Linked DNA regions of Arabidopsis thaliana. The protein of the gene in region 2 interacts with the protein of the main gene of each other region in a pairwise test. Each region holds a gene or a part of one and is shown on either strand. Other genes may lie near its edges.

Region 1 (5,246 bases), on a different chromosome or scaffold from region 2:
TGAATCCTTCTTAAGAGAGAGACTTTCACAGAGAAAACATTTAGAAAAACAAAAAAAAAGAAGTACCAAACGGCTTGGATCATCAAGAGGACATCACTAAAAACTAGAATCACGAGGACTTCATTACTACATGCATTATAATCATAGAAAAATTCAGAGAAGCTAAATTAAAACCCTATAAAAAAGGTTAGGTTTTTAAAAGATTCAAAGGACCTACCACTTTTACGTTTCTTCATCACATCCTCTACGTTCTCGTGACTCTCTCTTTCTATCTCTAACCGCCATTAACTATGTCTCCTCTCTATCTCTCTAAATCTTTCTTTTGTACGGATACATACAACGTATATAAAAGTTCTTAAAACATTAAGTAAGCATTTAAAGAAGAAAACAAACAAAATGGTAGGGTCTATTCTTTGCTCTGCCTCTTCCTTCACCATTCTTTTCTCTGTTTTTTCTTAAAAATCTCAATGTTTTTCTTCACTCTTACATCATCAAAGCTCATTTCATCAGCTAATACCAAAGCTATACCTTTAACATAACTGTTTTGTCTGTATATGTGCAAATGTTTTGTCTGTCTTCTTTGAGAAGTTCACTCATGAACAAAGATGAAGACTTTAAAAAAAATTCTTGAGCATAGCTTTAAGATGAAACATAAATGGAAGTTAACATTGCTAATAAAAGGTTGAAGTTATGTATCCAACAACAACAACCTCAAGTTCTCAAAAGCTTAATTTAAAAACAACTCTCATTTGCAATTGCATTACATGCTTAGATTGAAGTTATGACATAAGAAAAAAAGTTGAGAAGAAAATTGCAGATTTAAAGGGACTTAGTTCTTCTAGCTCTGCTTCAACAGATGCTTAATGGACTCGAAGTCAGGATCAGATCAGATCATACCAGCATACCCTGCTGTATCGAAAAGCACTGCTTTGATTTGATCAGGCAGTATCTCTTGTCCTTCTTGGCATTGCTGATAGACAAAAGAAAACATGTTACTACTAAAACTGTTCTACAAATCCTTAACCTTTCAACTGAGAGTAGAAGATCACCTCAGCGCGGAAAACATCCAAGGCAAACCCATTAAAACAGCTGATCACAGCTTGCTGAACATCCAATCCAAGATTATCCAAAGCTTTCATGGTAGCGAGCAACAGACCCGGTCTACGACCACAGAACATATGAATGTTCACTGCTCTTCCTTCCCTTAATCTAACCTCAACCTGTGAAAAAGAAGCAGAGTAATCTCTCAAACATGAATCTTTGTTTTCTTCTTTCCAGTCTAAGCAAAAGTTATACAGAATATAGTCCTTACTCTAGCTTGCTGGCCTTTAGGACTTGGTAAAGAAGAGGGACACAACTCTTCCTTGACACGACAAGAAAGAGTTTGCGGTGTAGGTGTCAACGGATGGAAGCTTGATGAAGTTGGAGGCAAAGATCCAGGAGGAGTTGACTCAAGTTCATTGTGAAGATCATTGATCCTTTGTAGAAGTTCCTTCAGATAATCAATTGCATCTCCAAGTATTGATGCTCTATCCATCTGCAAATTCATCGAAAATCCATAAAACACTATCACGAGCCTCTTCCTCAAAAGAGTAAAGCAACTACATGCAAAGTTTGACAACAACAAAGGCCCTACAAAGCTACAACACAACAATTCTCTATAACAGCAACAAGTAAACAAGCTCTTAAGGAGATAAAAGAGACAAAGTAAGTGTTTACTTTGCTGATCTTGGGGACAACTGATCTAAGCATATAAAGCCTATCATTAAGCTTCTTCCTCCTTCTCCTCTCAGCCATCAGATTCTTAGCAGGCATACCTTTCTTCTTACCCTTTCCTCCTCCTCCAATCTGAACACTCTCAGCCGCTTTACCGCTCTCATTTATCTCATCAGACTCATAGTTCAACCCAGAAACCTCAATCCCAGTCTCATCCATATCTCCATCATCACTAAACCTCCTCATTCCCGAACTCTCCGAATTTCCCATTTTGCTTCCAGAGCTCTGACGCATAGCTGCACGTTTCTGGAACAGAGTAGGCTGTGCACCAGACGATGCTAACACCTCTAAAGGCTTCAGAACTTTCGCTCTGTTCCCAACAAAACCACCATTAGCAGGACTACCAAAACCTTCCAACTCCAACGGAGCTGTGAAACCACCACACAACATTGTGTTGTTGTTGTTGCTTTCCGGCGCAAGAAGTGACCGAGCAGACAAGAAATCAGGAACAGAACTCAAATCCCTGTTCCCCAATTGTGTCAAAGAACCAAACCCCATCGAAATAGGAGCATGGATTTGGTTAAGAAAACCAGATTCAGAGCCAAACTCAAAAGCATTATCAAAAGGGTTTGCAGAAGAAGGAACATTGAGAAGACAACCCTTGTTGTTGTTAGTTGACAAGAACTGATTTTGCTGAGAAGGGTCAAGACTAAAAGCTTGAGAAGGAGAACAAGAAGAAGAAGAATCAATAGAGTGTTGAAGAAGAAGATTATCATTAGGGTTAAAAGGAAAACCACCAAAGTATCTGAAATCTGGCTGATTCTGTAACATCTGAAGATCTTGTGGATGTGGTTGGTTACTACTAAACCAATCACCTTCAAGCATAGGCTTAAACTGAGAAGAACCATCTTCTTGATTCCTTCCCCATGAACCTTCCTCGTTCTCTTCCCTTTCTCCACCACCACCGTTTAACCAAACCCCTCCACCATTGTTTCCGTCAAGACCCATCGCCAAAGTTGACACCTTTACCCCAAAGTCTGAACCTTTAGAGGAAAATTCTGCAAAGTTGAGACCTTTAACTGAAATTTGGAAGCTTGAAGACAATTCTGCAAAAGTTTGAAAACAAAAGATATATACTTTGAATATTCAGAGACTTGGAAAAGTAAAAAAAGAGAAGCATTAAAGTAGAATCACGAGGATTTCATGAATTGAAGAAGCGAAATCTGAAAAGGAAGATAGAGATAGAGAGAGAGAATGATAGATTCATTTCTCAGAGCTTTCAAAAATTGAAACTTTTTTTTTGATGGATTCAATTTCGGCCACCATGAAATTGCTTTATCATTGAACACATACCCCAGATTTCTCGTGACTCTCTTTGCTTTGCTTCGTTTACCGTATCTCTCTCTCTCTCACCGTCACTATTTCTCCATTTTTCTGCTTAATTTTGGCTTAAGCTTATCTCTCTGTCTCTGTTGTCACTGTCTCTGTCTTTATATAGACAGTGTTTAAGTAAGTTAATGATGATGATGATAATTTCAAAGTGTAATTAGCATCATTCATGCAACGCGTGTCTTCCATGCATTTCTTTAACTCATATTATTACCTAATTATTGTTATGTACTTAAAAGTTCTTTTTCAAAAGATGGTAATAAAATTTATTTTATATTCTTACTATTAAATATATTTCCTTTTATTTTTTGTATTTTTTTAAAAAATTATAAATAATTATGTTGTAACGCATATCTCGACTTTACCGGCGTCGACATCTTTTCGATGGTTCCTAAGCTTCTTGAACAAAGCCACATCAAGCTCAAGTTTGTAAGTAAATAGTTTAATTTCATAAGTCTTTTAAACATTAATTAAGTAAGGACGAGTAATTCCAAATTTTCTGATGATTGTAGCGTTTATCACCATTATCAACTAAATTGAGTTCCCAAAAAAATATAGTTGTGTTGCGATATGCTTTCTAGTCTTCTAGAGGAAGTAATTAGGGATTCATTTTCTAAAAAGTTTTGTTAGTTTCAATTGTGGCTTTGTGCCTTAAATTGGCTTTTTGCTTATATAGTTTTGGTTTATGCTTTATTATTAGAGAATTTGTTTTTCTACCGGCTAAGATTCCGGAGATTTAAACGTGTTCTCCGGCTATCTATCTTAGTTTCCTTCATTTAAAGGTTTTAATAAACATTGAATTTTTTTTTTTTTATGGGCTGTTTGTTGCAGTCCACCCATACTATATGGGTTCAATTAGGATCACTATGTAGTAGACCTCAGCCCAATTCATTATGTATTTTTTATCTTCTTTCTAATTTCATACAAACTATAAAATTCTACCTAAATAACCAATTTCCATTTATTTCTGTAGTTGTAATTTATAATCAATAATTCGCGTTTATTGTTTCGAAATTTGAGTAAATCTGAATTTAAGACTCGGTCAAACTTTTTAAGACTCGGCCAAGCTTTCAAAGTGTTTTTGACATGTTGTTGGGAAGGTTTTAAACTCGGATTTACTCTAATCGCGAAATAGTAAACATGAATTATTGATTTTAAATTGTAATTACATATAATAATTGAATTTGGTAAATTGGGTAGAATGTGGAATTAGATAGAACAAAAAGAGCAGAAGGTGAATTGGATAGAGGTCAAAAATATTGGTAATCCTAGTTAAACGCATATAATACATGTGGATTGGTACAAACAGCCATTTTTTATTTATGCATCAAGTACGGTAGTGCATTTTATCCGTTTCATGAATATTGATTTTGCAAATTTTCATTTCACACAGATTAAAAATTTATACTGCATTTTCTTTCTTTCTATCTACTTCTTTTTATTTACTGTAGCTATACATGATTTGATTTTCAATAATAAACACTTCCCAAGAATTATAATTCAATATTAGTTTTACTTTATTTTAAAGCTACTATAATACACATAGGAATCTTGAAGATTGATCTTTGATGAAATGGATGACGTATCTATTTCACCAGTTTCAATATATTGTTTCTTTGCAAATATATGAAAATAGTCTCTTTGTTTTCAATAAATCCAGCATGGCTTGAACAAAATAAACTTACTCATTAGAAATTTTTTAAAGATGAATATGAACAACTTAAAGCTTATTTTTAACTCCATCAAATTAAATGGTAATGGTTAGTGTGCAAGGAAAACTTATTTCCAAGTAGTCGATATATCCTTCATTTGGTAGCAATTTGGTGAATGTGCTGAATCAACTAGCAACTCAATGTTCTTCAAAATTTGGGGTAGAATCTTCGGAGTGCTCTTCAACTTCGATTTGAGAAATCATTATTATTTTTTGTTTCGATCCATTACAATCACCGCAATGTTAAGTTTATTAAAACTGAGATCACTAGGTAGAAAAGTAGAACCACTTAATTTGCTTTTCATATATAAGTTCAAATTTAAAGAAATTATTTTTTTGGTTTTCCCTAAGGTTTGGGGTTGAAAATTTTGAAAGAAAGTAATAGAGTTCGATATATGTATATTAATTTCTTTCCAGTTTTGATGTTTAA
Region 2 (4,736 bases):
AATAACATCAAATTGGGTTAATTAGAAGAACTGTTTCACGTACGCTATGTTTCACACATCAACCTTAAACTAATGGTGATGGTGTTCGATTCTTTGTTTTACTCATTAACCACACATAAAAAAAGTTTCATACATCAAAAGGAAAAAAAAAAAAAGATATATGAAAATATACACCAAGTCTCACGGCAAGACCAAGACATTTGGCTTCCGAAATTCGAAAAGAGTTTGGGTCCGTTCACGCATTATCGATCAAGAGTCTAGTTACAGAGTGAAGCTTGGTCTTTAATTATGTTTATGTCTGATCAATCCTTGTCTTGCATCTAATTAACACCTGTATAACCTAGTAACACATATATTTATATCAAATCAAAAAGAACAAAAAAACTTTGAAGCAATAATAAGAGGACTCGGCTATGAAGAATGAAAAAGGAAGCGGAGACTTTGATGAACATTTGATGGTGCATATATACATATTAATTCTCTTGTGGTTAGGGAATCCTGACACTAAGCTAAGTGCGCATGTAGATAGATGAAAGAACCATCAACCATGCATGAAGTCCATCCTTTGCATCATTGGTTTTTTTTTTTTTTTATAAAACAAATCATTGGTTGTTTCAACCGTCAATTTTTGCTTTTGTGTTTACATCAATTTTTTTTTATGTCTTTTCAATTCTGTTTGCTTTCATGATATAAAGCAAACAAACAATTGAAGTCATCATATTCAAAAACGAAACTATTCAGTGGCAAATATTTGATTTACCATTAACTTCTCATAGAGAAAAAGACTTCTGAAAATCATGCATATTCAACAAACATAACAATTAACACAAGTTGAATTACAATTCAATTTAAAACAAATGGGTTATTACAATTTTGTTCACCACGATACAACAAATTAATAATATTATATTTAAAAGAATTACAAATATATGGTTTAACAACCAACGTGGTCACGCCAGTCCAAGAACAAGAGAGCAGCTGCATAGTGAGACAAAGCACCCAACAAAACGAACACATGGAAGATCTGATGACTATGTCCCACACGATCAAACCATCCCGGTTTAAGCCTTTCTGGCACTCTCCCTACGTAGAATCCTGTTCCAACAAGATAGAACACTGCCATAAGCAACTCGTACACGAGCGTCACGTTCCTTTGCGGGTTTCCCCAATTGACCACTAGCGCGTGGGCAGCTGGGACAATCCCAAACAGCCCCATGGAGGCAAAGAGCAAAGCGCGGAAAGCTCGGTACTTGGGAGCGGAAAGTGATGGGGTGAAAAGTGTGATGATTGTGAAGATTCCCATGGATGTGATGCCTGCGAGGTAGATGAAGTACCACCGAGGAGTGCACTGGAAGATGTAGAAGATTGGTGGGAAGAAGGAAGTGATGATCATGGCGGTGATACCGGCATAGTCTATTCGGAGAAGGAAGACATTAAGCTCTTTTGAGTGGCAACAGAAGAGGTGACAAATGCTGCTTGCGAGTAGGCAGAACATTGAGCCTCCTAAGAAAACGAAGAAGGGCCATCTTGTTACATTCCCTGGACTCTTTGCATCCTACAATCATCAACATTGATACCACCATTAGCTTTACATTTTTATTGACTAGTTTGAGATACTAAAAAAACATATACTAGATATATGATCAAATAACATATTTGAGTTGATTTCTAATCTAGTTAAGAAATACATTTTCTTCAGTTGTTTAGATATGTGATTAAATAATAGATTTGAGCTGATATATAATCCTTAAAAGAATTACATTTTATTGAGTTGTTTAGAATATACTACAGAAAACAAATTATAGTCAATGTAATATTGTCAAAGATTTTATTCATCATTTCGATTCATGTCTATATATCTTTGATATCTTATTCAAAATCATCATAACAAAATCCAGGTATAGCAACGAACAATTCATTAGAAAATTAAGATAAGTTAATCAAAACCAATTAGGTATATATCTAATTACTTGACACATTCACTTGACTAATTTGAAGTTAATATAGTGGTTGCATGTGGATCTCGAGGGAATAAATTGAAATTCGGGCTAAACTTGCGATTATTAAACAAAAACAAAAATAAACGTGTTGATTAAAGGACACTTACCACGGGGAAGAATCCGTCGTGATGAATAATATTGGCGACGGTTAGTGCCACAAAGAAGATAAAACCAATCAAATGTCTGTCCAAAAAAAAAAAACTATTAGAAAAAAAAATCGAAGAAAAAATAATTGAAACTAGAAGTAAAATTTGGTGTACTTACGTCCAAACATTGAGGGACTCATTGTGGAAACTAAATACGCTGAAGAAAGCATCTCTAATGGACCAATCAGCTCTGTAATAATTCAATATGTATTCGTTGTCTTTCATGTACTCCGGTAGCTCACAATACGACATTAATTCACGTCGTTTCATTGTCTTTTGTTGCGTTTTTCTCTTCTTCCTTCTCTTGGTACCACTACTCTCATCTCCACCGTGATCATCTCCAGGCACGATCTTGCTTTTGCAGTTGCCGTTGCCGCATGAAACTGTTTCTGCTTCGTCGTTATGACCATTTTGGTCCATAAGAGCTCTCGAGTATCGATTCTTGAGACAAGAATACTCAATCTTGATCTCAAGAGAAGATGGTGAGAGAGAAGATCTGAGAGGAGAGGAAAATATATAATGAAGAAAGATTATTATTATTATTATAGTTGAAGTAACAAGTATTAAAATGTGAATTTAAGTTTGAGGGGAGAGAGAGAGAGAGAAGAAACAAGGAAGATGTGAAATGTAAGGAGACAGCTGCAACATTTAAAGACGAAACTTTAGTATGCAGGTAGAAGTTGGTGTCGTGTTTTCATCTTTTAGTTGTTAGTTAGGTTATCAATAAATTCTTCTTTTTTGATTATTATTATTTCATTTCCCTTTCTCTTACGTTTGTTTTTATTGTATTTTTTTTTAACAAGAAAAGTGATTCAGTTTTACACTACTTTTTGAGATATGGAAAATCTTTTGAATACGAGAAGAGTAAATTTAGGCGATTTTAAGACCGACCGACTCAAAATTCACTACCGGCTTGTACCTCTTTTACATGATTGATGCCTTGTACCCACCGGATCGTTTGTATTTATAAGAAAGATATAAGATATGTGATGCAAACAAAATAGTACTCTTGATGTAAAAATAAAAAATAAGGACTCATTTAGACTTTTACTATGCTTCAATCAACATTAAATTCTGTGTGAAATTAAGATTGGTGAGGGGTTTACTTTACTTGAAATAGACGAGTAATTTTAGAAAATTTGCATTTTTGAGTTCTTATGTGTAATTCTAAGTAATTTTTTTAACAGAAGAAGTTAGGATAACAACAGAATTTAATGTAGTTATGAGTTATGAAGTGATTGTGGTAAAGAAGTGTCAAAGCTCTTTCCATCAAGTGGATGACAACAAAAATAATGATACTAAAAACAAGCATGCAAACATTTCAAGGATTCCTTTTTTTAAAAGAGTAGACCACAAAAGCCAAAATCATGAAAATTTCTATTTTTTTCTTGTGAAATGTTGCAAAAAACATTAGTGTCATTTTCAATGAGTTACCACTTGAAAAGGACTTGACCTTTAAATGCCTCTAGCAATATAGAACTTCAAGTTAATTAATTAGGCAGATGACTAAACTTTAGAACAAATTTATAATTTATTTGGAAATCAACTAAAAAAGGATGTTAAAAATTAGACGAAAATATCTTCATACAAGGAATTATAAACGTTTTGTTGGCAAAAAAAAAGGGAATTATAAACGTTTGTGACATGCATTCATGTAATACATGTTATTATGCTGTTATTATGAAGGAGTTAGTGAGTAAAGATCTTGACGCCACTACAAGGTTTGTACTTCGGTATGTGTTTCAAAACACGATACATTCTATATGGAGAGAAAGAAATGAGAGGAGATATGGACAGACGCCATCGAGGACGAAGAAGATAATCAGGCTGATAGACAAAAACATAAGGAATGGATTAAGCACGTTGAGGGTAAGATGTGAAGAGAAGTACGCAAGAGGAATCCAAGTGTGGTTTACTTTTAGGCAAGAACAAAATCAAAGATAAATAAGATATACTTTTGATCTATTTTTAAGAAAAGTTTGCATTTCTGTATATAAACAGTTTATTTTTCTTTGAATATAATTTAACACTAAATTCAAAAAAAAAAATATGTTGTTATTATGTAGATAGTAATTAACATCTCGGCGTCCCATAGCCATACCTTTATTTTTTCTCTTACAAAATTCAGTTTTGTTATCTAAAATTAAAGCTGATAAAATGGCCATAGTTGTAGCTTTCTGGTCTTTCAAGATTTGGGTTGGCTTAGGCTTTTTGGGAAAACATTAACCAAAGAGGTCACTCCTGAAACACCCCCAAGGAATCGCAATCATATACGCAAACTCCATATACGTGTGTTTAAGTTTCTTGGGAAAATAGTTTATTACTAATTCATAACTTAAGATTTTGTTAAATATGGTTGAAGAAGAAAATGACTTTATCTTCTCGACATCTTTTGTAATCTTTACTTTTGGATATAACTGCCATGTGTTTGCAATCTATTTAGCCTTAATTATATATTTTGTCGCCTAGGCCTAATTAAAATCAAAAGGAATGGTTTTATTTATATGAATGTTGTTCTGTTAATTAAAATACCGGGAATATCCTCTTTTTCTTTTTATTATTACAATACTTTGCATAAATGAAGTAAAAT

The links.
Region 1: the proteins of HHP1 (region 2) and ICE1 interact in a two-hybrid assay, tested with the Arabidopsis thaliana proteins (one study listed by BioGRID).

The regions. Positions count from the first base shown.
Region 1 is NC_003074.8:9,832,067-9,837,312, forward strand, and holds ICE1 (basic helix-loop-helix (bHLH) DNA-binding superfamily protein), read right to left. Parts: upstream 3,207-5,246; 5' UTR 3,070-3,206; exon of another isoform or gene 2,823-3,069; 5' UTR 2,725-2,822; coding exon 1,720-2,724; coding exon of another isoform or gene 1,633-1,719; exon of another isoform or gene 1,538-1,632; coding exon 1,313-1,537; intron 1,221-1,312; coding exon 1,050-1,220; coding exon of another isoform or gene 1,020-1,049; exon of another isoform or gene 971-1,019; coding exon 887-970; 3' UTR 601-886; downstream 1-600.
Region 2 is NC_003076.8:6,840,091-6,844,826, forward strand, and holds HHP1 (heptahelical transmembrane protein1), read right to left. Parts: upstream 2,857-4,736; 5' UTR 2,567-2,856; coding exon 2,265-2,566; intron 2,184-2,264; coding exon 2,108-2,183; intron 1,556-2,107; coding exon 935-1,555; 3' UTR 743-934; downstream 1-742. UniProt on the Arabidopsis thaliana protein: May act as a negative regulator of abscisic acid (ABA)-mediated osmotic stress signaling and function in cross-talk between cold and osmotic signaling.